Neurospora crassa OR74A: one gene and its partner. Each later gene encodes a partner of the first gene's protein in a complex. Links are inferred from orthologs where the notes say so. Each region holds a gene or a part of one and is shown in the gene's direction. Other genes may lie near its edges. The genes, in order: NCU04463 and NCU10747.

The links.
Region 2: NCU04463 (region 1) and NCU10747 share a complex: the UniProt entries of both Saccharomyces cerevisiae proteins name them as parts of the nuclear pore complex. The link is inferred for Neurospora crassa OR74A from reciprocal best matches to the Saccharomyces cerevisiae genes NUP170 and POM152.

What each region holds. Positions count from the first base shown.
Region 1 is NC_026504.1:3,271,834-3,287,509, reverse strand, and holds NCU04463 (non-repetitive nucleoporin), read left to right. Parts: upstream 1-8,869; 5' UTR 8,870-9,444; coding exon 9,445-9,826; intron 9,827-9,900; coding exon 9,901-13,076; intron 13,077-13,132; coding exon 13,133-13,900; 3' UTR 13,901-14,370; downstream 14,371-15,676. Other genes in the region: NCU04459 (SAGA complex subunit), read right to left, coding at 1,006-2,481, 2,730-2,822; NCU04460 (galactose-1-phosphate uridylyltransferase), read left to right, coding at 4,384-4,484, 4,557-4,608, 4,671-5,472, 5,544-5,767; NCU04461 (transmembrane domain-containing protein), read right to left, coding at 5,985-6,446, 6,515-6,580; NCU04462 (3-ketoacyl-CoA reductase), read left to right, coding at 7,168-7,311, 7,383-8,237; NCU04464 (hypothetical protein), read right to left, coding at 15,649-15,676. UniProt on the Saccharomyces cerevisiae protein: Functions as a component of the nuclear pore complex (NPC).
Region 2 is NC_026507.1:2,682,253-2,697,989, reverse strand, and holds NCU10747 (hypothetical protein), read left to right. Parts: upstream 1-6,342; 5' UTR 6,343-6,690; coding exon 6,691-7,268; intron 7,269-7,328; coding exon 7,329-9,421; intron 9,422-9,492; coding exon 9,493-10,646; 3' UTR 10,647-11,155; downstream 11,156-15,737. Other genes in the region: NCU02380 (threonyl-tRNA synthetase, variant 2), read left to right, coding at 31-90, 149-369; NCU02381 (phosphatidylserine synthase), read right to left, coding at 1,116-1,484, 1,584-1,777, 1,991-2,086, 2,208-2,298; NCU02382 (hypothetical protein), read right to left, coding at 3,425-4,035, 4,095-4,294, 4,360-4,541, 4,608-4,707, 4,770-5,245; NCU02383 (hypothetical protein), read right to left, coding at 11,553-13,280. UniProt on the Saccharomyces cerevisiae protein: Functions as a component of the nuclear pore complex (NPC).

The sequences.
Region 1 (15,676 bases):
CAGATATCTTTCTTCACATCTGACTTCTACCTATTGACGTTCCATAAGTCTTCCTTGAAGTGTTTGTATTTTTTTTTAAAAAAAAAAAACTAACCGATAACCACAACATATATAGCTAACCGCTTACTACCTATCTACCAACAATGGCGTATGTAATGTTACGATTAGATGTCCTTTTTCTTTTCTCTTTCTCCAACGAATCAATGTTAGGCGCTTAGCGACTCCCTTCTTGCAACCCGATGCGATGTGCGTGTTCGGTATGGCGATTTGACTGTTCGGATGTAAGACTCTCGCTCGACGCACAGACAGCACATCAGCAAAAGCTGTGTAACCAACCCATGGCCCGGATTCGAGACAATGGTCGACCGGAGGCCTCGCATTGAAGAACACTGAACAAGGCTGTTGACGGTGATTTGGTCGATAAACAGTTTTGAGAGATAGTAATCAGTAACCAAAACACTTGAACGCCGCGACCTGATGTGCGGCGCATGTGGCTGGGAAATGTATTCAGGAGGCGCCTTAATAACATCGTCAAGGACATATGGGCTTCGCCATGGGAGTCGTAGGAATAGATGGTAATATATAGTGCGGCAAAGCATGACGCGCCACTTCCTTCATCATAGCTGGAGGAGCAAGACAGGCAGGCGTTGGTATAGAAGGAAAGAAAACTAGATCAGTTAATCTCTAGATTGTAGCCCCGCTCCAGCAAAAGAGTAAAATGGTATTATGGTAAACCAAAGACATACTATGTACAATGTGAATATGATGTGGATGCATGCCGACTCGGTCTCTCCAAAGAGCTTTATTAGGAAACGCCCTCTCCGACCAGCGTGTGTATGAGGGTATCCCTTTTGGCACTCGTCATTCGCTCCCGTCCCAAACGCCGTTGTCTTATTGAAGTAAAATTCGTTCGCCCGGCTCCAACGCTCATCACGTAGAAATCAAAAGCACCCACCCGTCCAACCCTTGCTCCCAGTATGTAGTGCTCGAGACTGGTCAGGTCCTCTAAGCCTTCACCACCCAACCCGCATTCACCATAAAATCAAAAATCCTCCCTCCCTTCTGCTGATCGACTCTGCAAATGTCCTTAGCCTGTTTCCTCTTCAAACTCCCGTTGCCCTTGACGGCTTCCTTGAGGATCTGCTCCTTGATCATCAGGTAAGGCTTCGGCTGAATCCTGAGCACCTCGCACAGCTTGACCTCTTCCGGCGTAAGGAGGTGAAGGTCGGGAGCATTGTCCTGAGAGAGTGAAAGAGGTTGTATCCCGGGAACGGGTTGTGGTAAGGACTTGTGTTTTGACGGCGTAGTGTCGCCATTGGCAACGATTACACTTTCACTGTTGACTTGCCCGGGTTCCACTTTCATGCTGCTGAGTTTCTCGGCCTCGGCGATGACATGAGGTGACTGCATACGCGCCGGCAGCTCAGGTTGGACCAGCAGAGCCGCGCCACTTGGCGGATCTGGTGGTGGCGGTTGTTTGCTGCGCTGAGCACTCGCCAGTCGTTCGCGGTCCATGGAACCCAGCGGTATTGATTTCTGAATTCGTGCCTGCTTCTCCTGCTCATACTTCTCGCCGCTTCGTAGATCACCAATCCGGAGACTACGCCATTCCTGTAGTTGTGCAATTGCCTGCCGCAGGTTGAGCTCGTCAATCAACCCTTGACAGAACTGTTCAAAGTCGACGCGATTCATCATCCGCGCAAAGGGTTTCGCCTTGTTCAGAAGATCGCGTTCCTCCTTCGACCTCTTCTTTTCCGACTTTGTGTTTTCCCTGTAATCGAGCAGGTTGTGCTCAAATATAACCTTCTTCCTCTCAACTCGTTGCGTCAACCGGCAGTTGTAGATCTCCATAACGGTGAGTTTGAGCTCCATCTCCGGTTCCAGCTCGCCTGTCCGTGGATTAATTCCATCTCCTGGGTCGAACTGCATGAGCTGGACAGCCTCTTCCGCTTCGTTGCAGAACTCGGTCTCAAACTCCAAACGTCCTGGCATATATCCTTGAATTTCGTGGCATGATGGAACACTGGCTGTCGGCTTCGTCTTCGCTTGGAGGGTTGGGGCGTTCTTGGCGGCTTCCCTCCTTTCCTCGATGCGTCGCTTCTTGCGCGCCTGAAATTCTTCTCTAGAGATTTCGTTTGCCAGTTCCATGTCATGGGGACTGCATCGTTTCGGAAGGGGGAAGTTGGGCGAGTCGACGTAGACCTGGAGATAGTGGTCGCGTACCTCATCCTTACTTCGGTAGCCGCCGATGTGGTCCGCAATGTCGGCCCACGAACCCAAGCCGTAGATCTGCGCGCCCTCCAGAAGAAGGAGCTCCTCGTCCGCGCCCCATTCTCGGTCGAAGATTGGAAACGAGTTCTGTTCGATTACTCGATAGGGATGGGTTTGTGGCTGATGCGCATTGCTGGACGCTCCTTGCGCAAAGCATTGGACACAGAGATCATATTCATTGCAAGCGCTGTGTGCACACCTAATTCGGACCTGTGCGAAGTGGAAAGATTAGCTGGCTTGTTGTTGTTGCTTGTTGTTGTTGTTGTTGTTGTCGTTGTTGTTCTTGGGAGCCAGAGGGCTGGAGTCCAAAGAGGTTCCCCAACCCCACAACGTCGTCTCGTGATTCGCGCGACGCGAGGTCTGGGGCAGCGGTAGCGGCCGCATCGGAAGGGAGATATGACGTCCAAGCACGAGAACAACGGTTGAGGCTTGTTAACTATATGAAAACACAAACCTACCGTAGACGTTATGTCTGCTGAGCAGACGTCGCATACATACTTGACACCGCCCTCGCCGCCTCGTGCAGCGATCTTCTTACGGATGACGCCCATGGTGGATGTCCCCGAGGGACGGGGGTTAGGATAATCCGATAATGCGCCGGGCGGGAGGAGTCAGAAAAGGGGTTAATGTAGGCCAAATTCCACCGCTCAAAGCCCCATAGATGGCATTGACAGAAAGCGCAGAGGTTCGCGAGGCTTCTGTAATGCGTATATTGATGAACCAGGTGGCTGATGGCGAGTTGTCGATGGACTTATGTCGACGACCTTGATGGCAACGATGTTGCGGTTGTACGAGGGGGTGATGCGCCTGGAACCAGCAGGGCCAGGGGCTGCATTCCCACAATGCAACATCTGAATGAGCGGACAGGTGGCTCCAGCTGGGAGCCCACTTCCAAGTCATTCTGGCTCCGACGTTGTCCCGAGTTGCCGCTTCTGTGGCACAACCCTAACCCGTAGCTACTTGCTTACGTATCATGTACCTCTACTGTCGACAAAGGAACGGTGAGCTTGACGAACAAAGGATATCACACATCAGAGATCGGGCGGCAAAGTACCAAGGTATATCCTGCAACAAATTCTGGCAGAACGGTCAGTCAACTTTTAAGCTCGCCGTCTGTCAGATCTGCTACACAAATACAAGGTGGTACGTAGTGTGCCTGACTGATGGATCGAAGTCCCTTGTCAAGTTGGCGCACAGCGAAGCATGGAGCGAGTGCAGCCGCTCCACTAATATCATGCCCCTGGTGCGGAGGAGCCCCACAAGAACTTGTTTAGACGCGGGGTTGCTTCCATTGGTAAACCATGGTGAGGGGTAACGACCAACGAGGGGACATTTGCTTGCGAATTGGGGATCATAGTGGTGATGTTTTTGTTCCTATAAATTCTGCCATGTTTTCACCCGTATTGTAACCAACTCACAAGCTCTCCTTGTATGCTAATCCTCTGAAGAGCATCAGATCTTGCAGTATATCAGTGCTCGAGTTGAAACACAATACGGTGAATCCCAATTGACGTCCAGTCGCTCACCCTGTTTCTCCGGGCGCACTGGAGGCTGAAGCAGCTTAGAGGTAGCCCTCCACACTTCCATAACAGTGCAGTAGCTGAAGTAGGCAGGTACACATGGAATATGAATTTCATCCTGATGCAGGCTGCTGTCTGATAATGACAGTGCCTTTTGCGCCTCAGAAAACTCGGGAAAGAAGCGAGTTCGAATGCTCATCAAAAGTTGCACACCAGTCTGAGCCAGTGTATCACTATCAGGCAAGCGACTTCATTCCTGTAAATAAACGGTCCGTTGATCTGTAGGGTGCTTCTAGGCAATAAGGCCGAAGAACACCGAACAGATCGGATCATTTTCATCTTGTCTGCTACCCGGCCGTTGTACCCATAAAAACAATCCGGTAAGTGTGACCAGGTTGCCTCGGGGATGCTATCCCCGAGCATATGACTACCAATACACTTCAAAAGTGCAAAATACCAACCACCAATCTACATTATTGAACACCTCACTTATAAGAAAATTGATTTCCCAATCAACACCCTTGATTGATCGCAAGCCTTCTTTTCCAATTCCCACATTACTCTTTTCCTGAAAGCCTCTTGAAGCGCAACCATGACCGACAAAGTGCTTGACGACATCTCGCATCGTCGCTACAACCCGCTCAACGGCTCTTGGCTGCTTGTATCGCCTCACAGAACAAAGAGGCCATGGCAGTGAGTCCTCGATAGCCACACCGGAAATAAAGAAATACAGCGGGTTAGTTTGAATTGACGAGTTGCAATCAGAGGACAGCAAGAGGCTCCAGCCCTCAACAAGCTTCCTGAGTATGATCCCCAGGTGCGTAATCCCCGTCCCTTCATGACTTTATATTACTCTCACTCACTCTAACTGCAACCCAGTGCTACCTTTGCCCCGGCAACAAGCGCGCCCAAGGCGACTCCAACCCGCACTACAAAAACACATTCGCCTTCGTCAACGACTACAGCGCCGTCAAAGAGGAACAGCAAGAGTACCACCCTCGGAAGGACGCCGCTGGTGACGGCGACGATGACATTGCCTCTCTCCTCCTGCAAGCGCAGCCCGCCACCGGCCGGTGCTACGTGCTCACCTTCTCCGCCAAGCACGACACCACTTTGGCGGACATGAGCGCGACCGAGATCGTACCCGTGATCGAGACCTGGACGCGCATCTACGCCAGCCACCTGTCTGCCTCGCATCCGCTCAGGGACGCCGCCGCGCGTTCACTCAGCGAGATTCCACCTAACCCGGACGGCGAAGTCGAGCCCGCGAAAAAGCAGCAGCTGCGGTACATGCAGATCTTTGAGAACAAGGGCGCGGCCATGGGCTGCTCGAACCCGCATCCGCACTGCCAGATCTGGACGACGAGCACGCTGCCCGAGGAGCCGGGCAAGGAGCTGGCGCAGATGACCAAGTACCACCGTGAGCACAAGGGGAGGCATCTGCTGGAGGACTACGTCAAGGTGGAGATGGCCAAGGGCGAGCGTGTGGTTTGGCAGAACGACGGGTTCTTGGTCGTCTGCCCTTGGTGGGCTGTCTGGCCGTTTGAGGTGCTCGTCATTGCGAAGAGACATGTGCGCGCGCTGGTGGAGCTTACGAGCGAGGAGAGGCTGCAGTTTGCCGAGGCGGTGCAGGAGGTTACGAGAAGATATGATAACTTGTTCGAGACAAACTTTCCGTATAGTAAGTTCTACTACCCTCTGCAACTGCCCGAAGGAGAGAGAAAGGGAGAAAGGAGCTAACGGTATGAGAAGGCTCGGGTATTCATCAGGCGCCGTTGGATTGCACAGAGGAAGAGGCTGAGACGAGCTGGTTCCATATGCATTTCTACCCTCCACTTCTTCGGTCTGCTACCGTGCGCAAGTTCTTGGTCGGATACGAGTTAATGGCTGAGCCGCAGAGGGATATCACTCCGGAGCAAGCGGCTGCGCGACTCAGAGACTGCGGTGGTGAGCTCTATCGCAAGTCGTTGCAGTAGTGGAAATGTATGATGCGCTTGCTTCGCTTCTTGACCGAAAAGGGTATCAATAAGTGGTACATCTTCCACAAAGCCTATCGTCGGAGTCTTATTTCACCTAATACGCGATCGCGCTTCTTATGGTCATGATCCGAGTCCACTCGCCATTCCTTTTTGGGGGCCATGTACTGCTTCCTGCTTTGATTCCCAAAGACCAGCTGGTAGCTGCACCTGTCTTTTACTGGACGTAGTAACCATACTGCAACACCATCCACAACGTGCCGCCATACGCCGCCAAGAAGGGGAAGATCTGAGGTCCGCTGAAACGCAGCGTCTTGTAGATGAAGAACTCGCTCGTAAAGTGCACGGCGGCGATGACATGGGTCCAGATACCGAGCTTGTACAACGACTCGTTCTCGAGGTTGTAGCTCGCATAGAAGCGGATGATGCCGGCCATAAAGGTGTAGGTACCGAAGACGCGGGCCGCCAGCGGCGTGACTTGGTCCTTGGCAGCCGCCTCCTTCTTCTCCGCCTCTGAGGGCGAGACGGGCTTCAGCACGTCCACGCTGTCCTCCGGGCTGAATTTGCCCTTTGCGGGCGGCAGGGAAGGGTTGGGGACGAAACGGCCGTTGTAAAGGCGTCGCGTGTAGTGGAGAGTAGTGTAGTTTTGGAGGGCGTTTCCCATAGCTACGATGGAGACCTGGACGAAGGGCGTGTTAATTGCGAAACCATGTGAAGAGTCAGGGGGACCAGCAACCGTCAACTTACAAAGAAGAGGTAGTAGGGAAGGAGACCCTTCTCGCCCGAAGGCAGGAAAGCCTTGATAGCGTCCATTTGGTTCAAACAGTTATGAAGCGGTTTGTCGTCAGGGAAGAAAGCTATCGTAAGTCCAGGATATTTGTATTGAGAAGACCTTTTGTTGTTGAGGTGTTAGTTGCCCTTCCTGTTGCAGCTCTCCATTTGTTCCAGCGGCTCGAGGATCGGATGGAAACCACACTTCGGGCCACTCTCAAGCGCGAGAGACAGGGGTCATCGTAGCATCATGGACGCAGGTCCACGGGCATTGGACGACATTTTGGAGACAACAAACAAAATCCGCCAGGCTCCCCCTTCTCCTCTATCCATTGGCCCATGGCCAGCTCCGTCGGAGTTCAATGGCGGCGTCGAGTGAGTGATGGTTCGGCAAAAGCGGGGACAACCCAGCTGCCCAGGTCCTCTCGCCGGGGCCGCGGGGCGGGACGTCTCGAAAATCTTGGCGGCTGACACATGCAAGTGTACATAGTAGGCGAGTCGACCCCAGGTCCTCCAAAAAGTTCCCAACAATTATTTGCGACCGGACCCAACTTTGAAAGTGTCACAACTCCCCGATTCAAACCAAAGGCGTTCCTTCATCAACGACTTTCGCCGACAGTCCGTACGCAATGGATAAGGTTGCCGAGATCTGGGGCACTGTCCCTCAATATGGCCAATGGGCCCTTGCTGGCATCGGCGCCCTTTACGTCGCTACTCGCGTCGGCGCTTTCCTCCAGCTGCTCCTTAACGCTTTCATCCTGAGCGGCACCAACGTACGTCTCTTCGCAAACTTACTTGGGACTGAAGATTGTCAGGTGAATGTGGCTAACATCAACCTTGACAGCTCCGCAAGTATGGCAAGAAGGGCACCTGGGCTGTTATCACTGGTGCCTCCGATGGTCTCGGAAAGGAGTTCGCCCAGCAGCTCGCCTCCAAGGGCTTCAACCTCGTTCTCGTCTCTCGCACTCAGTCCAAGCTGGACGTCCTTGCTAGGGAGCTCGAGCTCAGATGGGATGGTTTCAAGGCCAAGACTTTCGCCATGGACTTCTCCAAGGACGACGATTCCGACTACGAGCGTCTCGCCGAGCTCATCAAGGGCCTCGACATTGGTATCTTGATCAACAACGTTGGCCAGTCCCACAGCATCCCCGTTCCTTTCCTCCAGACCGACCGCGACGAGCTCCAGAACATTGTCACCATCAACTGCCTCGGCACACTCAAGACCACCAAGGTTGTCGCTCCCATCCTCGCCCAGCGCAAGAAGGGTCTTATCCTTACCATGGGCTCTTTCGCCGGTGTTATGCCCACCCCCTACCTTGCCACCTACAGCGGCAGCAAGGCGTTCCTCCAGCACTGGAGCAGCGCTCTCTCTGCCGAGCTCAAGGACCAGGGCGTCGATGTCCACCTTGTTGTCAGCTACCTCGTTACCACTGCCATGAGCAAGATCCGCCGCACCAGCCTCCTCATCCCCAACCCCAAGCAGTTCGTCCGCGCTGCTCTCGGCAAGGTTGGCCTCAACAGCTCCGAGCCCTTTCCTAACACCTACACCCCCTGGTGGAGCCATGCTGTGTTCAAGTGGGTTGTTGAGAACACTGTCGGTGCCTACAGCTACTTTACCCTCAGGCTGAACAAGAACATGCACATCGACATCCGCAACCGCGCTCTCCGCAAGGCCGCTCGTGAAGCCAAGAAGCAGTAAGCGCATATCGCAGCTTCTAGCTACCATGTTTCTCACGTGAAGCTGGGAAGGAGCATGGACTTGTGGCATGATGGCTCTAGCCAAAAGACACATCCCATTGGCCTGCGTTACATCCACCCTTCGGACCCTGTATCTATTGTAGAGAAAATGAGAAACTTCGGCCCGTTGTTAGCAGACGAGTTCATAATGTGAGTGGAATGTACAGAAAGCTAAAAGATGATAATTGAACGATGATCATGAAGCAACCATATTTTTGCACAATGTATTTTTGGTACAGATCAAGAGCAGTTGCTGTCTGTCTATAGTTGATATTCTGAGTTGCAAATCCGACTTCTAGTGACGGGCATTCGATGACGTTCTCGACGATGATTGGACGGTTTCGACATTCTATAGGCGGTAGAAAAACATGCTTCCAAAAAGAGGTTAGCGCCTCTTCTGTGGTCCCCGCCGTCCAACTGCTCCGGCACACAGGCGCGTCCAAAATTCGCGTTTCAGGTCGCAGGTCCCAGTTGCCAGCCGCGAAACGACCGCCCTGGGCACCAATGATTCCTGCCCGGTCGCGGTAGAGGTACGTACCGCTGTCCCAGTTCTCCAGCCAAAAATTGTTTACGGTAGCCCGCCGCCGGAGCGGGCCAGCCTCTTCAATCTTCTGCTGTTCATCCACAGTCCACCTTCGACAGTGATTGCCCAATCGCGCGCAGAGCTTCCTTGCTCTCAACACCACAACAACAACTCAACCGCTTTCACCTCAAGCTGTGGTCGCTGCTCCTCGACCACGTCGCATCGTGTTGGACTTTATAGCTTCCCCTGGATTCCCAGACCTTCTTTGATGGTGGTGCAATTGTAGCAGTACACCCACCGACTGCAGCGAGCACCGCGCTCTCGACTTTGTGACCTCAAGCAACCAACCAACCAACCAACCAACTTGGGAGACCTGAAGCAAGAGGGCAAACGAAGCAAGAGCGACAACACAGCATCACAGCAAAGCGCGGAGAATCACGAAGCTGCCAGATCACGCTGCACCCTTGGAGCTCCAACTTGTGCCGACGCCAGATTTCCATCAGCCTCCATCCGCCTCGTTCTGGAGCTTCCCCTCCCCTCGACGCTCGCGACGAACTCTGAACCGCTTTTGCAGGTGGCACCGACAACCATCCCGCTGCCATCCCACCATCGTCCTGTCGGGTGTTAGCATCACATATCCGCCATCATGAATCCAGCCACACCTATGCGCCAAGTGCCCGGTGCATTCCTCAACACGCCCGCTGCGCCCAGGACCGATGATGCTCGACGCTACTTGGACTCGCTTCCTGAAAAGAACACTGCGAGGCCGGTGCTAGGAGGGTTCGGGTCCTATAATGCTGGTGGTGCCGGAGTTGCTTCCGGACCCGTGACTGGGCCCGTTTCGGGCTCTGTTGGCGGCGCCGGTGCTGGAACTGTTGCTGCTCCTCGTCCCGTCTCGCAGGTGCCTGTTCCAATGGTGCCAGCTCAAGCTCGCACAGATCTACCACCGGTTGCCAAGGCCGCGCGGCGCATCACCAATACCCTACTACGTGACGAGAACTACCCCGATGTTGATTCTTATGCTAGAGGTGAGCTTACCTGTTTAGGTTTCCATCCCTCATGGTACCTGGTAGGACTGGCTAACCATGTCTCTCCCAAATAGCTGGCTCCTCCTCGGACTATGACATGTACAGGACTGATGACGCGCCCGGCGCCCCGTTCAAGAAGACTCATATGTATCCCATCCCCGATCAAGTCTTTGAGCGGTTAAACAGGGGAGAGGTCAACACGCAACTCGGCCTATTTGCCGACATCAACTACGCGTGGGCTGCTATTGACAGCTCCCTCTTTCTCTGGGACTATACCCACCCAAACCCCGAACTTATCGGCTACGAGGATGCCACCACCACCATCACCGCGGTTGCCCTAGTGCCCCCCAAACCTGGCGTGTTCGTTAGTAACATCACCCATATTCTAGTCGTTGCTACGGGCACCGAGATAGTTTTGCTGGGCGTATCCGCGACACCTACCCCTTCGGGATCGAAGACCGTCGCCCTCTACCAAACAAAAATGGCAGTACATCGCGGAAGCACCGATGTCAGCTTAATCATCGGTACCTCGAACGGCCGTATCTTCTTTGGCGGTTATACCGATACCGACATCTACGAGCTCCTTTACCAGCAGGAGGAGCGCTGGTTCTCTAGCAGATGTGCCAAGGTCAACCACACACACCCTGGCTGGACATCAGTTGTTCCTAACCTCCCAGTGCCAATGGGCTTCTTGGGCCACCGTGATCAGGAACACCTTGTTCAGCTGGTTGTCGATGATACTCGGAAACTCCTATACTCGCTCTCGGACAAGTCCACCATTCGAACATACTTCATGGAGCCCTCTGGGAAACTGACAAAAGTCATCGAAAAGAACAAGGTCTCGTGCCTTAGTGACATGACGCATATGGTTGACTTGAACAGAAACCCTTTGCTTAACGAGAGAGTGAGAATCGTCTCTCTTAGCGCCATCTCGGCACAAGAAGCCTCAAAGTCTCACCTCATGGCACTCACCAACACCGGATGCCGTTTGTTCCTTACTGCGACGAGCGCGGCATCCTACATGCTGAGCGCCTCAACCAGCCTTGCTCCTCAGAGCATGCAGGTCCAATACATCAAGTTTCCTCCTACGAGCGAAGACCAGCAGGTTCCCCTCCGCAACGAGATCAACACTGCAGTTGCATATGCACCTGCACCTGCAGCAGCTCAAGATCAAATGTCTGGCTTACTTTCGGAAAGTTGCCTTGGTGAACGTTTTCCTCCGGGTTATTTCTTCGACGCGGTTCGACCCAAAGAGAGTCGCACGGATCTGCTCTTTGTATCAGCCCCCGATGTCGGCAGACTTAAGCAGAGCGCTGTACTCAGATATGTTGAGCAAGGTACTTTCATCCCCTTGGGTGACGGAAGCCGAGTTCTTTCCATCGGTCTTACTGGCAACCCTTTTGCGGCTGCAAAACAACCGCTCGGATTTGGCAACGAGCTAGCTGTTCAGTTCGATCATACCCCAAGCGAATTCGCTGTGCTCACCAACACCGGTATCCATATCGTTCGCCGCAGGAGGTTTGTTGACATCTTCGCTAATGCGATTCGTGTCGCATCTGGCGATGAGGATTTGGACAGCAAGGTGAAAACGTTTACGGCCATCTACGGCAGGGTCGAAATGGTCGCGGCTGCCTTGGCGGTAGCATGTGGTCAAGGAGGAGACGCCCGTCGTGCTGTGGATCCTCTTACTGAGGACAGGGCGCGGTCCATCTTCATCAACTACGGTGGTCAGCCCAAGCTTGCGGACGCAGATGTTTTGCAGGCACCGGAGGACAACGTACAGCTCTCGGCTCGCCACGATGCGCTGGTGCTCTATCTTGCGCGCCTCGCCCGCACCCTATGGAAGTCCAAGGTCATTGAGATAGCCACGGATAGCGCTTCGGGCGGGTTCACTGTTGGCTCGGCGATTCCCATCTCCAAGCTCATGACGGTACAGGAAAGTGTGCAACGACTAAGGAGATTCCTTGAGGAAAACAAAAGTCTCATCCAGGGCCTGGCCGGACCCTCCGATCGGGTTTCTAGCAGACAAGAGGAGATCGCTTTGCAGCTGGAGCACCAGTCTCTCCACGCTCTGCGTCAGCTTATGGACAGCGTGTCTGAGGGCATCTCTTTCGTCTTGATGCTGTTCGATGAGCGGGTAACCGACATCTTCATGCGCCTAGATGATTCGTCCAAGCAACAGCTGCAAAACCTTACCTATGAAGCTTTGTTCTCTCAGGACTCTGGAAAGGAGCTCGCCAAGGTTCTGGTGAAGGCTATTGTTAACCGCAACATTGCCAACGGAGCCAATGTCGAGACCGTTGCCGATGCACTCAGGAGAAGATGCGGCACTTTCTGCTCCCCTGATGACGTTGTCATTTTCAAGGCTCAAGAACAACTGCAGCGGGCCAGCGAGTCATCGGGCAATCCTAACCTGATGCGCACCTTGCTTGCGGAGAGCTTGCGATTGTTTTCCCAGGTCGCGGGAAGCCTGACCATGACCAACCTGCGCAACGCGGTCGAACAGTACATCAATTTGAAGTATTACGCTGGTGCTATCCAGCTGTGCTTGATAGTTGCGCGAGAGAAGGACCGTGGAAACGCGGCCCTTGCTTGGTTCAACGAAGGCAAGCCGGCTAACGATCCCCGTGAAAAGGCTTTCAAGGACCGGCAAAGTTGCTATTCCTTGATACATGAGGTCCTTGACCGGCTAGAGATTGAGTCGGCCTCAGAGCCCGATGTTGTTGACGGTAGGCCAACTCTTGCTGCCACCAAGCGGGCGGAGGCATACAGCGTCGTCAATAGCTCAGACGACGAGGTCTTCCACCTTGATTTGTACGACTGGTACATTGAGAAGGGTTGGACCGACCGCATGTTGGCCATCGACTCTCCTCATGTCGTAACGTACCTGCAGAGACTCGCTGCGGTTGATGCTCAGCACGCCGATCTTCTTTGCCGGTTCTACACACAACGCAGCCGCTTCTTCGAGGCTGCTCAAGTGCAGGCTGAGCTCGCCAAGTCAGACTTCCCCCTTGGCATCAAGGAACGCATTACCTTGTTGAGCAGAGCAAAGGCCAACGCCAGCGTCACCACTGTCGGTGTGAGTCGCCAGCAGCAGCAGCTTCTCAACCACGAAGTGACTGAGCTTCTGGAAATTGCCCACATCCAGGACGATTTGCTTGAGAGATTAAGGGCCGATCCTCGCATAGTACCTGAGAAGCTCCCTGACATCGAGAAGGTTCTGGATGGTCCTGTCCAGGGCCTTTCTACTGTGAGTCAATCCCTAAAAGTATGATGCTATTTTAGTTGCTAATCTGTACCATGTAGCTCTTCAACGATTTCGCCGATCAGGCCGGATACTACGACCTTTGCCTGCTCATCTACAACGCCGCGGACTACCAGAACCCGCACACCATCAAAGAGACGTGGGAGAATCTCATCAACCAGATCCACTTTGAGACCGAGCAGAAGCAAGAGGTGTGGCGCCTCATTGAGGCAGGCGAGGCATTGCCCGAGGGTGTCGAGGCTCTTGAAGTTCCACCCCCTATGCCTTACGAGGCTGTTGTCTCCCAGATCCAGTCCATTGCCCACCGCACCTCCCTCGACAGCCTCATCTTCCCCGTCGACACTCTTCTCCCCATGGTCTGCGCCTACGCCATCAACAACCACCAGGACGCCTCGATCGGTGCTGACCCTTGCTGGCCTGTCGCTGCCTTCCTGCAGCTGGGCGTTCCTCATGCCCTGATCGCCCGCGTGCTGGAGAACATGTTTGACGCTCAGGAGGCGCCCTTCGTTGGCAAGCACAGGAAGTTGGTAGTACAGTGGATCAACTGCGTCGTCGACTCGTGGATCCGCGAGATCGAGCACCGCGGTTCGGCATCGGGTAAGAACGGCGACGGCGCCATCACCACCTGGGTGGCTGAGCTGTTGACGAGGGCCGAGGAGGCGTTGGTTGCGATTGCGGCCGGCACCAGGGACCCCGCTCAGGCGGCGAGCATCACGGATACCAGGAGGGACACGAGAGAACTGAAGAGGAAGGTGGAGATGCTGTCGCAGGCCGAGGCCCAGGGCAGTCTGTTGTTCAGCACCAGGTAGGACCAGGTGAATCCAACGACTCCCAAGACGCCCATGAATAAGAAGAAGCGGACGTCGTATAAGACCACGGTGGAGGAAATTCCGGATGAGAGTTGTGGTGCGGCAGGGGAGGATTCAATGATGGGTAGCATCCCGGGGAAGTGGAAGAGGGGGTTTACCTGAGACATGGAAGCGAGGGAGTTGCTGTGAGTTATGTTTACGAATATTGAATATTGCTGCCTCTTTTGTGTCGGGGCCTTGAAAATATCGCTATGAAGATGGCGTGGCGAAGAGAAGGAAACCAGAATTAAGAGAAAGCGATACATTGTTGATTGACCTTGGAAGTAGGTGTTTTCGATACTATCCGCCGTGGTCCTCTTTCTAGCATTTTGTCGAGTAGATTGGTACCAATGGCTTTGGTGTGTGGGTAGGTTGGTTGGTTTGGTTAATGTGTACTGTACATAAAGTATTTATGTGACTTTTTTCTCCACGTTTCATCTCTCTGGTACTTTAGACCACCCGGGCCTGCTTGCTTTGGCTTCTCATTTGCGTCTTGGTACATGAAGATGGTTGAGTTGATATTGTCGATGTGTGTGTGAAATGCTGGTCGGTCTCCACTTTTACCCCTTTTCACTTGATCTCTCAGGATAAACACTCGTGCTCGAGAGGGTGGTTTTGCGCTTTTACGTCTGGCCTTGAATCATCAAAAGCGGAAGCAAAGAGAACGGGGACTTCTTTCGAATAGTTCTAGGTGCCAGTACAGAGGCATGGCACGAAAACACGCCTGCATCCATGGATGGCTAACTGAGATCAAGCTCTACTCGACAATCTCCTTTGAGAGTCCCTTCAGTCTCCAACCAGATCAAAAGCAGGAACCGGGGGTGTCAATGCTGAAGACCGTGTACGTCCAAAACCCAAGTCCCTCAACCTTCAACGAGTTTGAGTAGGGGAAAAGAGCTGCGCTTCTAACGAAAGACCAGCAATCAAGGTAAGAGAAAGAAAGAAAAAAAAATTATGGACGCGGAGAGGGGAGAGGAGAAAAAAGGAGGTAAATAAATTGCACGGTCCGTGATTCGAGCCCGGGTCTTTATCTGGTGATTCATGTTCCGATTCCCTCTGAAACTCGGTCTTTGACTGTGAGTCCACGGGGATTCCAACTCTGTTTCTCAACCCAAGTGGCGCGCTAGACCATTGCGCTAACCGTGCTTTTTTCTTGGGTTTGTTAGTAGAAACAAGATCTGAGGGGGTACCATATGTACCCCTATCGACTGGATGGAATTGGAGATAAGTGACGAGGAGGCTGCTGGCAGAGGATGGCATGGGGCAGTGGGCAGGTTCAGACTTGGGAGGGATGGCAGGAAGGAAGGAAGGAAGGAGATACGTACGCCCCTGCTGGCTAACTCTACGGCTACTGTAACGATAGTGACAGAAGATGTTGGAAGATGGTTTCAAATAAACTTACTACTAGCACCGCTACCTTTTTGTTCCCTTTTCTCTTGTCATGTATGGTCTTAATCGTCTGCATCCCTTCCCTGTTCTCGTTCACTCTTTCCATTACTCCTTCCCCATCTACTCCATCACTAACTACTACCAATTCTCTCCTTGATTACTAGCAAATCTTCTCGCTTTGTCCCACCATCACCGCAAAGGTTTCCAAACAAGTCAAACATTGCCAACCACTTCACTCACTCATCTTCCGCTGACACCCAACCTCACACAAGCACCACTAACCAACTTCCAACCCATCAAACTCACCCTCATCCTCATCTTCACCCTTTCTTAGCCTCGCCTATGCCA
Region 2 (15,737 bases), on another chromosome or scaffold:
CGAATACTGACACCAAAACCACCACAACAGATGTCGATAGCAGTGGCAACACCCTCCAGAAGAAGATTCGTTCTGCCCAGCTTGCCCAATGTAAGTCGCGAGCCTGTTCCCCTTTACCAAAATTGCCCCTTCTAATGACGCAACACAGACAACTTCATCTTTGTCGTCGGCGACGACGAGAAGACCAACCGCAAGGTCAACATCCGTTACCGTGACGACACCTCCACCCAGGCCCGTGACGTGCCCTACTCTCTCGAGGAGGCCGTCGAGAAGCTTCGCGCGCTCAAGGCCGATCGCGGCATGTACAACCCTTTCCCTGCCCATAACCCCAAGAAGGAGGAGGCTACCAAGGAGGAGGTCAAGGCTTAAAGCTCCAGCTCAACTTAGGGAGTACATGAAGCAAAAGAAATAACAAACTCAAATTTAAAAGTTCATGTTGGCAGCAAGGGGGCGGCGTAGGCAGGAGTATGGGTTATAGTCATCTAGCATATGCTTGTTACAGAACGGTAGAGAAAGAGGCGAATATTTTTGTTAAATCTTATACTAAGGAGCCTTTGATATTCTTTGGAAATGGTTTGGTGGTCTGTCGCTCGGGCGCACTGGTGCTTCTGCATAGACCTAAACACTGCATATCAGAAGAAATGATTTCGCGTAGACAGGATACGGACAAGAAGGCGAAGACGGGAAAAAGAGAGAGGGTATTTGTATTCTAAAATGGAAAAGCGTGTACACACTCGCACTACACAATGCAGCCAACCGGATAGTGACCAGAAAGGAAAATGGCAGGAAAAAAAAGAGAGCAGGCATGATAGTCATTTCAACAATTCTCAGAAACCCCCCAGACCCACGGCTAGTTCCTTCTTCTTCTTCTTTCACTTTTTAAGTTTTCTTTTTGTCTCCGCTTTCCATCTGTTAAAGAATTCCCCGTCTTTTGCTTTCCTGCCCAAGACCTTTCTGTCTCTCAATCTTCCCTTTCTCTTCACCGACGTTCAACTCGTAGCGGGCTTCTTCCTTATTGAAATCCAGGCCTTTACCTTTCCATAAACCAACTCAATCATCCCCGTCCCTCGTTCCTTGCGGCACAAGTTCGTAGACCCTAGTCCGTCTTTATGCTTTCAAGGCTTGGGAATATGAATGGTCTTGCTTGTCATCAAGCAGCCGTGGAGCATGAAGATGAGGACAATGGGGTGGAATTCGAGCGCGGTGCCCTGGAACATGGTACCCCACGGAAGTGAATCATGAATCCAGCCTTGCGACACCCAGTAGGCCATAATGGCGTCCAGACCGAGCGTCGTGGGGATCGGCGTGCCCTCAAAGTAGGCAGCCTTGCCGTTGGCGTCCTTCGGGATGGCGGTCGCGGTCACGTTAAAGCGGGCGAGGCGGGTGAGGCCACAGAGGATGAAGAAGCCAAGGCAGAGATGGTCGAGGGGGGTACGGATACCGATGGCGAAGGCGACGACGGCGGGTGCGACGCCAAAGGAGATCTGTTGGTTGGATGGGTTGTGAGTTAGAATGCTTGATGTCCCGGAGAGGGTCGGGGTCGAGGAATTGGGAAAGCGTGGGCAATAATGATGTACACGTACCAGATCAGCCAGCGAGTCCAGCTCTTGGCCCATCATGCTGCTCTTCTTCCTCCAACGCGCGACCTTGCCATCCATGAAGTCGAAAAACAAGCCAAAGGGGAGGAAGGCAAGCGCATAGTAGATGTTGGTCTTGTCGGCGGGGTCACCGAGGCAGTACCGCAAAGAAGAGAAGAGGGAGAGGATACCGCAAAGGCCTAGTAGAGTTGCAAAGGCGTTAGCATTCTGTGACCACGTCTTCTATGATATGCCAACTCGCGCACAAGTTGTGCGTCGATATCATCCTTGGGGAAAATCGCGGAGGTTGTGACGGTCTTGCTGCTTTGGCGCTTATAGCCCCAAAACCCAGCGTCACAAGCTATGCTAACCAGACAGAATGCGCGAAAGGATACAAGGAGACAAAAACTAACCATTCAATTCAGTAATGAGATCCGCGAGATGCATCGCGCGAATGAGAGAGAAGTGCCCCGCATCTGTAGAGAAGAGAATTTTTTGCTTGTCGTGAGCTACCGATTGACGCGCCATGTTAGCAACAGTTGTCTACCTTAAGCGCTCAAGGGCTTGCTCCTTTCAAACAGCGGATGGTAGATGATATCGAACAGGTTCGCATAAGGAAGGAAAACATACAGCGATCGAACTCGGCAGCAGCGGCGGAGGTGGAGTCGTCTTGGGTTGCGGCGCCATTGGCGACCGACGCATAGCTCGGCCGTTTCGACATGGTTGCGGTCGTAGAGATGGAGTGGAAAATTCACTTGGAATCTCGTGAATGGGAGAGATCAGATGGGTGTTGTCTCGTCGGGCGCTTGTCGTGTCTTTTATTTTTTCTCGGTTGGTTCTTGAGGGGGGAAAGTCGCCGGATGCAAGGAGGGTCCTGTAAATAAGAAGAAGAAAAAAAAAAAAGTTGATCAGCTGGTGCTCTGAGAGAAGGTGCAGCCTGCTAGTATTCAGTCGCCTCTGCATGCATGTGAAGATGGGATACCAAAGGGACAGCGGCAGGAGATGCTCACCAAAAGACTAGTTGAGGAAAGTTACTTTTACGGCCTTTTTCTTGCAAAGATGCAGAAGATGGGGAAGAATGTTTGTTGGTGAGGGGCTGGGACGAGTTTGAATGCCTCTACGTGACCACCTAGACCACGGCAGGACAACAACAAGGTGGTGGTATCCAAGTGCTTGTTGGTCACGGTGCCTTTCTGGTTTCGAGGTTCCCCCCTACGGGCAGTCCAGGTCAATGCTTCTCTGGAGGTCTGGATGAAGGGAATGACAGGGTCCTGCTTTTGTGGCAGGGGTCATGCCGTCATTCTGCGCAGCGAAATCTGGCCTTGGCGGGAGCCGGGGCGTCGACCGACTCGAGACCGCCTTCTCAAATCGTCCTTGGGCTGTTTGGCGGCCGCTTCTCTGCCGGCACGACTCGCTACCTTTACTTGACCGCCTGCCCTTCTCGTCCCGGCCGCGGGGACATTGTCCAAGATTACGTCACAAAAAAAGACGTGGTGATACAGACTTGTTAACCAACAACTTAAGCAAGGCTTCGAGACAATCGTCGATCGAGAGACCAGACGGATGGCGCGAGTCCTGCGCGTCATGACCTCCCAACACGTCTTTTGTCCTTGTTTCACTTTCAGTTTATCTTATTAACCTTTGTGTGAATGTGCTGCTTGGTTACTACCCGGCTTTGTCCAAAATCGAAACCCACATTCCGATCTTTGAGCCGTGACAAAGTCCTTTCCCCCTAACATCAAAACAGTTCGTCGCTCTACACTACGCACCCCTGGGAAATGACTGTACTGCAGAAACAACCCCAAGTACCTTCCCAGTTGACGGCCAGTCCACGAAGGGATGGATGTCTATGAACCGTTTCGCGATTTCACCTGTTCGTGTAGCTCCCTCAGCACACCACGCTCGGCAAGCTTCGTCACCCATTCATGAATTGCTGGCGTGTGGTCTTTTCTTCGACCAGGGTCTTCATTCTGAGCATCGCCGTCCTCGTCACCCTCCGGCCCAGACGCGACTTCTGTGTAGTACTCCGCCCGAATTTGCTCCTGCTTCTGGCGGAGCTCTGTTCTAAGAAGCAACGCTTCAGCCATCTCCATCCCACCCGTTTGTATATCATCTTGCAACCGACGAGCTTCTGCTGAATTTTTGATCATGAGTTTAGCTTCGTCAGTACTGAGCTGGAATTCGTCCAGCTTACTCTGATCGTTGAAGTTGCTGATATGGTCCTTGAACGAAGACGAGTCATTGCCTTCCTCGAACCAGGCCGATTCGCTTCGGAATGCATCATTGAGCAATTCCGTGCAATGGATGTTGACAGCGAGTTGACGCCGCAGTGCGGCCCGACGGTCTCCGCAAAGAGCGAGAAGGCTAAACGCCAACTGATCGGCCTCGTACTCCATCATCTTTTCTTGGATGACAGGTTGCGCTACACTCGTCCAGTGCGCCCCTTTCTCAAATTTGCCTACAATATTTGTTAGTCGCATCGTGTCTGAATTCTTTCGTTGAGTAGGAGAGACACACCGACGTAGCGGGGGTTAAACTTCAGCCCATCGAGTTCCCACACGCTACGGTCCCCGTGGTTTGGCACATATGCAACAAAGTGGTAGGCATCCTCCATCTCCTGCTCCTTCTTGCGGCGCGCTGTGGTTCTAGCCCGCTTTTTTTTGCTGTCCTCAACCTTGTTCTCGAGGGCCAAGGCTGCATTGAGAAGGTCCAGACGCCTGTTGAAACGTCAGCTCAAGCCGTTTATGCTCAGCCCTTCTGGGAAGCGGAATGCCGTACGTACCTTGCGAAATGATTATGAGCTACCCTGATCCACGAACTGTTACTGAGCAGGTGACCACGCAATGGCGGAGATAGCGGTCCAGATTCCTCCTTGAATTTGGATAGATTTATGTCCAGTGGAAGGTCTTGGGCGTTCATGATGATGTTGAATAAAGCGACTGTCGCACACGCGTTGTTGGTCGTCTGCCAACCAAGGTTAGCCACAGTCGAAAACAGAGGGAGGCGCCAAAGGACAAACTAATGACTTGCCTGGTTGGCGAACCATAACCCAAACTCCTCATCTGGCTCCAGATCTTCCTCCTCCTCTTCCATGACCTGGAATAGGAACACTAGGCCATACAGAGGTTCCCTACGCGCAGTCAGTACCTGTTGATACCCCTTGATGCAACATGGGAAGCGCCATCGACTCACGGGAGAAGGAGGAGCGATTCCTCGTCAACAGACAATACCTCCCTCACTTTTGCCTCCCGTATGCCGAGTAGTCTGAGAATACGGTTGAAGAAGACTGGGTCAGACTCTACGTCCGTCCAGCTTGGCCATTCTGCCAGCTCATTTTCTTGCCACGGTCCTAGCGAAGCCTCCAGGACGTCCATGGGCACGTCAAAGACTTCAGGGGCTGCCTTGCGCTTGGCACTTCGTCGGGGTCGAACAGCTGTCGTTGGCTCCTCTGAAGCGGGCGACTCCTTGAGCATCGATAATCGCTCGGGATCGGCTGACTCTTCCAGCTTTGCTGAGGCCTTCGAATCGAGTGACGCCCTCTTCCGGCTGGCCTTCACACCGGCAGACGAATTGAGTTCGTCGTCAGAGCTGAGTTCCGCATATCTTGTGTTTGGCTTGCGGGCACGCCCTGAGCGACGGGTTGTCGCCGGCTCACTATTTGGATCCATCTTTCAAGGAAAGTGTCGTGGAATGTACTTGATGGGTTCGACAAGCAGTAACCCAATCAAGCTGAGGGATGTATGTTGATAAGGCTAAAGAGGGGGGGGGGGCAGGCTGCTCGTCTTTTCCAGCTCTGGTTTTAGGGACAGTCGCCGTTTGGAGATAGTGTAGCGTGGGATCTTGCCTTGTGACTTGTAACCGTGAGACTCGGGATATGACATGCCGCGAACATTACAGGGAAGTCTGGTATGGAGGCTGTTTTGTTCGCTCCCAAAGTCGATGGGTGAATAAGGTAAATGATCAAATCTGAGAGGCAGTTCAAGTTGATGGAGGAGAGTACGCCGGGGATGTTGTAAGTGACTGCACCAATAACTCGCTTGCAATCAGTCCGATGAAAGTTTGGTGGATCAGCTCTTGGGTCGAGCCCAAACCGGCAGACTAACGAGCAGTGGATGTAGTGACGATCTCATGCGATCAGTAGCGACAAGATGGTGAGGTTGTAAAGAGAGAAAGAAAGACGGCCTTGATGGAGGTCGGTGTTATGTGTGTAAGTGCCGTCGCAGGCGCACACAGACACTTGGGCAGCTGCTACACTACATCCGGCCGGATACTGTGTAGTGTTAAGTATGTAGAGCCAGGTAGGTAGTAGACGGGAGGTACACTACCTACCTACCTGATGGCGGACCACCACTCCTGCAAGTGTCATCAACCTACCGTAGCATTTGTGCACCCCGGGTTTCACGGGAGCAATTTGAGCATCAGGTTCAAGTCTAGACACGTTTCGGATCCTTAAAGACGGCTACGACGATCTTATGATAAAGTGCTGCCCATCTTTGCCCGGTGAGCTACATGTTGCTCGACCTCTTTTGTTTACTTCCCCCTCCACTTTCGCTCAATACCTGGGTACCTACGTATTGTCCCATGCACTGTCTGACTGCTTGAAACAGCTGAAGGCAGGGGACCAGGTAAGCTTCAGAAAGCACTGACCAACAGAAAGATGGGGAAGGTTTCCCCATTTCTCCAATCACAATCGTCTAAACAGCCATTGGCACACGCTAGTAGGCCAGCCAAGCAGCACTTGCAGTGCGGGCAGCGACTGCAAAACCTCAAAGAGACCACAACCGCGTCTTTGACGTGACTTGTTAGTTTCCAGAGTGTTGGGAAATTTTAGGCCTGTCTCTGCCTGCCCGCAAACAGGAAGAACAAGAGGAAGACTGAGAATGCCTGTTTTGATGTCGGCTCTCCATATCACCACTACTGCCAACGACTGATTAACCACGCCTCTCTCTCCCCTCGTGGACCATTCATTCCTTCCCGTCCTTCGGCGATTGATAACAACGACAACGACGACGACGACGATAGCTACGAAAATCACGACGACAACCACAACGTGCACATTGTTGCGCCCCGTGGCCACTACCAAGCCGTCAAGCCTTCACAGACTCGGCATGCCATGGCAGGCAAGGACTCTATAGGCGGCTTTCCCATGGCCGGACCACGACGACCCGAAGCTGCTCCCGCGAATCGCGCCCGAACAGCAACGCCCAATGCCCTCCCCGTCGCCCCCCAGAGAAATGCACCAGCACCAACAGGCCCAGGGCCAGTGATCCCGCTTCACGTTATCGATGCGCCCACACAGCGCCTCTACGCCGTTGCCGTCTACGCGGCTCTTTTTGCGTGGAAGGTGTACGACTGGACCCAAGTGGTGGAAGAAAATACCGAGTCTTTCTGGCTGTTCCTCAAGTGGATCGCCCTAGACCTCATCTATCTCTTCGGCCTGCCCGAGCTTAGGATACCATGGCTCGAACTCTCCCAGTCCTTCGTCGTCTTCGCCTTTGTTGCCCACGCCTTGGTTGACTGGATGCTCATGTTCAACATCGGCCTCCCGTGGCAGACATGGCTGTTCGGATTTGTCAAGGTCTTTTACGACCGGGAGCTTGCCATTACCGAACATCAAGTCAAGGTGTCCAGCATCCTCTACAATCACTCCCTCCTCATGGGTAGGCAGATTATCAACATTCTCCCAGAAGGGTAAGTCATACCAAGCAAGAGCACTAGTGAAAAGGCCCGGCAAAGCTGACCATTCACCAGCTCTGTGGTGCTCAACCCCGAAAACACCCCGTACTGCATTGGAGGGGACACCAAGGTTGCCTCGATCCCTCTGTTCTTCAATGCGACAACTCCCATCGATGTCGAGATCATCCGCACCGACCTCGAGACCAACGAACACGAAGTCATCAAGTTGACAAGAAACCAGCTCAAGGAAATCAAGAATGAGGTCAAGAGGAACGCAGATGACGAGATCTTCACTGTTAAGTACAACTTTCCCGTCAAGAAGCCTGGTGCCTATCGATTGGGCAAGGCGCTTGACGAGTATAAGCTTGAAGTTCATCGCAGGACTGCCCTCACCTTTGTGGTCCCTTGCCCTCGCGCTAGCGTCGAGGTAGTCTCCTCGCCAAACCGCTGTGTCGGCGAGTTGTCTGATCTCAGCCTCTTGGTTGATGGCACGCCGCCACTAAAAGTCATCTATAGCCGCACCATCAACGGCAAAGACCACAGCTTCAACATCCAGAGCTTGCAGCCAGAGGGCTTCTCTTCTCCGCTCCTCGGTGCTTCGCGTAGTCTTGCGAGACTCATTGAGGATGATGACGTCTCCTGGGCTCGAGCTCAACGGGTCCCCGTCAACCTCAATGAATCCATGAACGCTGGTGGAGTCTGGCAGTATTCCGTCGATGAGGTCCATGATGCGTTCGGAAACGTTGCTAGGTACACCGGCCATGCTGACGACTTGGATCCCAAGACAAGGCCAAAGCATCTGGTGCAGAACCTCTTCGTCAAGGAGCGACCGCGTGCGCGTCTTGAAGGGTGCGACGTTAGAAATCCTCTCAAGGTTGCCAGGGGCGGTTCCAAAGATCTTCCAATCAGATACGAACTTCCTGGCCCCGTACCCGACGACACTACGTACACCATCAGCTGGCTATTCTCGCCGATTGACACCCTCACCAAGAGCGGTGACCATGGGGATGTTGTTTCTGTTGGCACCTACGACACCAAGAATGCCAGGGACCGGCCGAGAATCGCTGCGCCTGGTTTGTATACCCTCAAGTCGGTTGTTGCCGGACAATGCGAGGGAGAGGTGCAGGAGCCGTCTTCTTGCTTGCTGCTGAACCCTCTCGAGCCCAAGCTCACGCTGCGCTCGGAGGAGATTCCAGATACTTGCGCTGGAAATTCCATTGGGTTGCGCGTCGACATGGACCTCATTGGTACTCCACCCTTCAACGTCAGATACGAGGTCATTTCCAATGGGCAGCGTTCGGTGGAGCGTATCAAGGTTAATGGCCTACGTTTCCAGCAAGAATTCATCCCTAGAATTGCCGGACATCACAAGTACGTGTTCACACATATTGGCGACTCCATCTACGAACCTCAAAAGCTCAGCGGGCCCGAGTATATCCTCGAACAAGATGTCAAGCCAGCAGCTTCTGCCAGCATCATTCACAGCACTGGTAACATGGCCGCTTGTCTTAACGACGATGTCTCGGTGGATGTGCAGCTTCAAGGCGACGCACCATTTACGCTGGAATGGGAGATTATCCATGACGGCAAGAGAAAGCAGTACAAGGTCAAGGATATCCAGACGAACAAGTATCAGATCAAGACGGGCTCCCTTGCTAAGGGCGGCGAGTATACTCTGGCGTTGACGAGCGTCCAAGACAAGAGAGCATGCCGTAACTTTGTGCAGGATGAGGTCAAGGTCTCAGTGCGCCGCCAGAACCCAAGAGCAGCGTTTGGTCTTATCGATGCCAAACGCAGGACCATGGCAGTTGAGGGCTCGACGGTCAAGCTGCCGCTTCGCCTCACTGGAGAGGGCCCATGGAAGGTTTTCTACAGCAATGTCAACGATACCTCGAGAAACGCCCCCCGGGTCCTGGAAAAGACGATCAAGCACGACAATGACTTCCTTGATGTTCGCACCAAGGGTATCTTCCAGATCACAGATGTCTGGGATCGACAATGCCACGGCATTGTTGATCCGAAGGCATCGTCTTTTGAAGTCGACTGGTTCCCTCGTCCAGAGCTCGCCATTGTACAGTCTGCGCACGTTCAGCCAGATGGCACCAACAGCTTTGTTGTGAGCGATGTCTGTGAGGGCGACGTATCTGGATTTCAAGTTGCACTCAAAGGTAAATCTACTATCAGCCGCCCCATCAGGCACATTCCTTGGTTTCCCCACAGCCTGCTAATGTCTACACAGGAACGCCTCCCTTCCATGTCGAATACCAGATTCGCCATCAACCTGCGTCTGGGCCAGCTTCTATCAGTAGGAAAGATTTTGAAGCTGCCCTCGGCAAAGCTTCCGTCCCTGCAGACACCTCCAGGGCGGGCCAGTACACGTACACGTTCAACTCACTTTCTGATAACCTCTACATTAATGACCGGACTTTCAAGCCCGTGACTGTTAAACAGAAGGTTAATCAAAAACCCACTGCCGCCTTCGCCAAGCCCGGTCAAACCTTCAAGTACTGCAAGACGGACCAAGGTGAATCCGAGTCGATTCCCATCACTCTCAACGGCGTCCCTCCCTTCAACCTCGAGTTCGAAATCAGACACCAAAGCAGCCCGATTCCGGAAGTGTACCGTACGCCTGCAATCAACTCCAACTCGTACGAGATCCAGATCCCGCGTCACCAGCTGCGCCTTGGAACCCAAACGATTCGCATTCGCAGCGTTCGCGACGGCAGCGGCTGCCACTCGATCTCCGATTACACATCTGCCCACAGGGATACTCCCGATGGCAAGGCCCACTCGGTTCAAATCCAGCTCTTTGAGGCGCCCACCATTTATCCTCTCGAGACTCGCACCGACTACTGCGTCGGCGAACGTCTGGGGTACTCCCTTGCTGGTGCCGCTCCCTTCGAGGTTTGGTATACCTTCAACGGCGAGGAGTCAAGGGCCAAATCTCCCACCACGACTTTCCGCCGTATCGCCGAGCACCCCGGTGAGTTCACGATTACCTCGGTTAGTGACCGGGCATCCGAGTGCCGCGCTCCTGTCAACATCTCCAAGACTATTCACCCTCTCCCCGCGGCCCGTATTTCCAAGGGCAAGCAGGTGCAGACGGACATCCACGAGGGTGGCGAGGTCGAGATTCTTTTCGAGTTCTACGGAACCCCTCCGTTCGAGTTCACGTATACTCGCAGCACCAACCCCAAGAAGAAGGGTGAGCGTGCGACGGTGTTGGAGACCAAGCACGATATCAGCGAAGAGTATAGCAAGGTCATCAAGGCCAGCCAGGAAGGTGCATACGAGGTCGTGGCCATCAAGGATCGGTTCTGCGCGTTTTCGACGCAGATGCTTGGGGTGGAATATGTGGAGGGTAAGGATGGGCGGTTGCTGAAGTACCAATGATCACCTTCTTTGTGAAAATCAGAAGACAAAAAGGAGTAAGGCATGGGAGGTGGCAAGAAACGAAAAGGGGTCGGACATGAAGGGAGGAAGGCGGAGGAAAGAGAATCATGCAGGGAGTCTCAGAGAAACAATGCTGGGTGACACGGTGTGCTCTGGTCGGCTGGCCATGGCCACGTATGGCATGAAGTGGGCTGTTGCACAGCTGGAGGAAGCAAATCAAAAAAATTAACGATGGAAAAGAAGATGAGAGAGATAGGGTTCTAGGGATGGAGATCTGGTTTTCGTGTTTTCGTTTTTCTCTTTTTTTTTTTGTAACGAATTACTACCACTACTCTACATCCACTTATGTGTTTTTCTGTAGACTAAGAACATAGCATGGCGTTTTCTGTCTTTATGGGGAACGAACAATTACCACAACTCACGAGAATGAACGGAATAGGATATGATGGGAAGGCAGAAAGGGCGGGCGGCAAGGAAAAGGATTAATGAAAAGACTTGAAATCATGCTGAATCAGTGTTTCTGTTTCCGTGCGTCCATTCCTTGAAATCGAAAAAAAGTGTTGCAGTATTTCAAACGTGTTGTGTTGTCATATATATACCTTTCCATATTTCTATCCAATCCGTATCTTATGCAATGCTCTCTCTCTCTCTCTCTCTCTCTCTCTCTCTCTCTCTCTCTCTCTCTCTCTCTATACTTCTTGCTGAATTTTTGAATGGTCCACTTTCCTAAAAGCGACCAACTGCGCGAATGCGGACTCCATCCAGACCGGCCTATCCCATTCAAACTTTGTCCCGTATTCCTTCTCCTCCTGGTCTCCATCCATCCATCCATCCCCGGGGGAGTCTGTGCCTTCTTCGCCCTCTCCCCAGCTTACTTCATCCCGGAAGTCCTGGTTAGCCCCGTCACTACCCCCTCTCCCCATCACTAGCACTCTTCGCCCTCTTCGCAGGGCTCATATCTCCACTCGGTCGATGATGCAGCTTCTTGTTCGCCAGCACATCATCCCTACTTCTACTACCACTACTACTGCTACTACCAATAGTACTAATCTCCTGCAGGCCAAATAATAACGACCTAGCACCGGCTACCGGTGAGGAGCAGCTATTGCTTGCGAGGAGGGTTTGCTTCTTGAGGGAAGATGGCACAGGTACAGACAACACCGAGATCGGTGTAACCACTGGCACAGCAGCAGCACTCTCCAACCTATTCAGCGCCTCGGTGAGTTTTCTCCGAGCTTCGAGCTCTCTGTTGGTACTTGGAGAGCTGGAGAAGGATGAAGGAGGAGGAGGAGGAGGAGGAGAGGAGGAGCAGGTAGTAGTATTATAGGGGGAAGGTGACGATCGAGGTCGATAGAACTCTTTGACAATGCAGAGCGCGGCGTGGTAGACTTGGTAGAGGAGGAGGCGAATGCCGGCGTTGGGGAGGTCTTCGATCAGCGAGGAGATTATGTCGTTGTCGCTGTTGCTGCTGGCTTCTGTTGGTGGCGGAAGGCTGGATATTGTTGGTGCAGGTGCACGAGTAATGGTGGTTTGTTCGGTGATGGCTGTGATGGACATGACTCCTGTGTTGGTGCTGTGGGTGCTGGCACTTGTGTTTCTACTGCTGCCCCCGAGATGGTTCGCATGGGTAGAGGCAGGACCGGTTTCGAAACCTTCCATGAAGGATTCCGAGACGCCGTCGCTGAAGATGGTAGCTAATAGTGGATCGCCAAAGACGCAGTTACTCCAATCTTGAAGGCCGGTAAGCGTTAGTCGTCGTTCTGTACCGATGTAGTTGTCTGACGCGGATGATGCCGGTTGTGGTGCTGTCGTGTAGTTGCTATAGCCGTTTGTACTTGTCGTGCTCTCCACGGTGACCAAGGTGTTTGTGTCATCAGCCACGTCAATAACCACTAATCTCGGCGTCTTGACCTCGTTGAGCAAGTGTTCAAACCGCCTGAAATGTCTTCGTATCTGCGAGTAAGCCATTGTGACCGCCATGTCTTCGCCGTCTCTTAGAACACCCTCCAATAACGACTGAAAGGCAGTTGACCAATTCCTTGCTCCGTCGGCTGCCACCAAGCCGCCTTCTCCAAGCCCAGCCACCTTGTCCGAAAGCTCTATTCCTGGCATTTTAGGGATGACGACCGCCACGGGGCCGAACCTGCCCGACGGTGAGGTCATTGACGAGAGGGATCGGTAAAGTTGGCCGAGATGCTTATCCAAACGTTTACGCTCCAAGTGGCTGGGGGGAGAAGGTAACAAGGCAACAGGAATGCCATGTTGATTCTCGAAGACGTTGTAGGCTGACCCTAGCTCGACCGGACCGTGACTTGAAGTATGTACGAGGGCCGGGAGGAATCTCTGAAGTGTTGGGCTTGTAAAGCTAGTCAAATGGTTTCTGGCAAGAGCATCCCTGATCCATTGAACTGTTGCCGCTTCGAAGCCTATTATGAATTGTTCGTGCCTCAGGCGTCTGAAGAGGACTTGTGGCGGGAGTGAAAGGAGGAGTGTTTTGCCGTCAGAAAGACTGACTTCGAATATCCTTTGTGGTCGAAGGGAAGCAATGGGTCGCAAGCTATCGACCTTTACGTGACTGGGTATGGTCGCGCTGAGGGCAGCCTGTACCGATTGTTTCGACGGTTGTCGACACATAGTAAGACTGTAGGGAAGGATATGTCCTAGGAGTAAGAGGTTGTGAATGGGAAAGATGTGATTTGGAAGGTCGACGGAGGGGACGACTTTCAAAAGACAGTCATATCTCTCTTGATCCAAGAACAATGCGGCCAAAAGGATCCCTTTAGGACCCTCGCAGCTAGATGACTACTTGGAGCCTGAGTACTTGTACCCTACCTGTGATGTGGGGAGATGTATATAGAGACTGAAGGGTACTGTGGTACTTTCAGGCTTGTTTTGATTGGGAAAGGGGGCGGAAATTTCCGTTCGATGATGGGCATCGACAGAGCTAGCCAAGCATGTTGGATCTCTGTATACTAAAACTCAGCAACTTGCCGGCAATTGGTATTGTAGATCGAGACGGTAGGTGATGATACCCGATGCTGCTAAAGATGGGAGAGGAGATCAACCGTCGTCTGTTCGAACTCTTTTTTTCTTTTTTTCTTTCTTTTTCTTTTCCTTTGCCTTTTGGTATGATTGACCGCCGCAAGGATAGGAACCTGGAGGATGAAGGAAGGAAACAGGCTCTGTGGACTCTTGGCTGCCCACTTAGATAAAGGTAGGCGTGAAGCTGAGACAGAATCCGTTTACACATGCTCTTTACGGACAAGATCCATATGTACCCCATATGCCCGTCAGCTCGGTAGCAGGCCAGGATCAGGATGGGTTACCAGGCCGTTCCGCATAGGGGATGCGGCCCGGACGAGGAAGGACCCGGAATAGACTGCTGGACTGACTAGCAGAGGTTCATTATCCGCTGGACCCTATACCTGGTAACAGATATGGTGTATAGAGAGGATGGCAATCCCGCCGATACATGGAAATCCCATTCCGCATACCTTTCTTGTAGTGTAAGTCTATGTGTTGTACAGTATGAATACGAGCGTGCTTTGAGGAGCATGAGAGGATACCTCTGCGGACCACACCGGGCCTTTTTGGACTTGAAAGTTTGGTGGCCGTGACAAGTAGTCTACATAGTAGGTAAAGTGGTGGAGGGGGGGGCGATCACAACGCCAGTGAGCACTTTAGAGGAGTGCCGGAAGGTGGTGATAGACGGAGCATCGCCAAGCACAGTTCTGGTGGAGCACTAGTGTTGAAGTGACGAATGAGGCGTGGAGAGTAGCGAGAGCGAAGAGTTTCGGCGCACAATATCGACGGGAAATGGTTATAAGAAAAGCCGGAGTGCCGGAGTCCCTAGACTACCATGGCATCGGTACGTATATAGTGTACCACGATGAGATGAGGACGGTGAAAGTCCAGTTCTTGCTCATATCCGCTCGGGTGCGGCTGACAAGTTGATAGAAGCCCAACCCATGGCCAGCTACTTGCTAATATGTACGTGTACCGTACTATGTTCCTCGACCTGTTTCGCTTGAAAGCCCTTGGGGGATTTTTTGATGGCTGGGCAGGAGAGGCGGCGGATTCGTTGTCGACGCCACCTCGCTCTGAGACGACGTCAACTGGACGATCCGGCACGATGCATGTGGCTAATAAAGAGGATGCCAAGGAAGTGAGTAGCAAGCGAAACCACAGGGTCGGGCCGGGACAAAAACGTGGTGGGGGAGAAGAAAGAATTGAAGTTTGGACGGAGGTTATGAGTGAAGGGAGGTGACTGGTGAGTCGATACATACCTAGGTATGTACCTATGGTAGCCCAGTGCAGTGGGGGGCGGGGATAGGACGGACAGAGTGTCATTCAGTCTGAGAAGGAGGAAGGGAAATTGGAAACAAGCGAGCCGGGAAATTGCTGATTGGCCAGCAGCAAGCGAAACACGCCGGATTGGGAAGGGCCACGAGCCACGGGGGATGGACGACGAAAGCACGTTACACCAAGCGCGGGAGGGAGGCTTCCTTCTGTGCTCGCTCTCGCTCATCAGTTAGACCCATTCTAAGTACCAAGTACGAGCAAAAAGCACCTTCCTAATGTGGTTGTGTGATCTGGGGGATATTGCATCCATGCCACTGACCCATTACACACAGGCTACCAACCTCAAGTCAGCCACGCCTTTGGGTCGCAGACAGTAGTTACCTACTAGGTACTGTAGTCCAAGGTCTTGATGTTGTTGGAGATACTACCTATCGATCGATATCGGACATGCCCCTGCCCCGAAACAGTGGACAACAAGCGAGGCCATTCCGGTCGCGGTCTCCATTCAGACAACTGAACCCCAACATGTCCACGTTTGCCGTCAGAAAACGAAACGAATGGAATGCGATGAACTGGAGGCAGGCCCAATACCCGTAACGCACAAATCATTCGTTGCGTTGCTGCCACTCGTCAATTTTATCTGGAATAGGGCTTAGCGTCCGTCAAACCCCAGGCCCTGCCTTTCTGCATTTCACTGTAACTTGCACTTTGTGTGATTTCCTGTTCAACGGACACAACTACAAGCGCTGAAGATCATGAATGGCATCCTGCAGTGTAGCCTCACTTGGC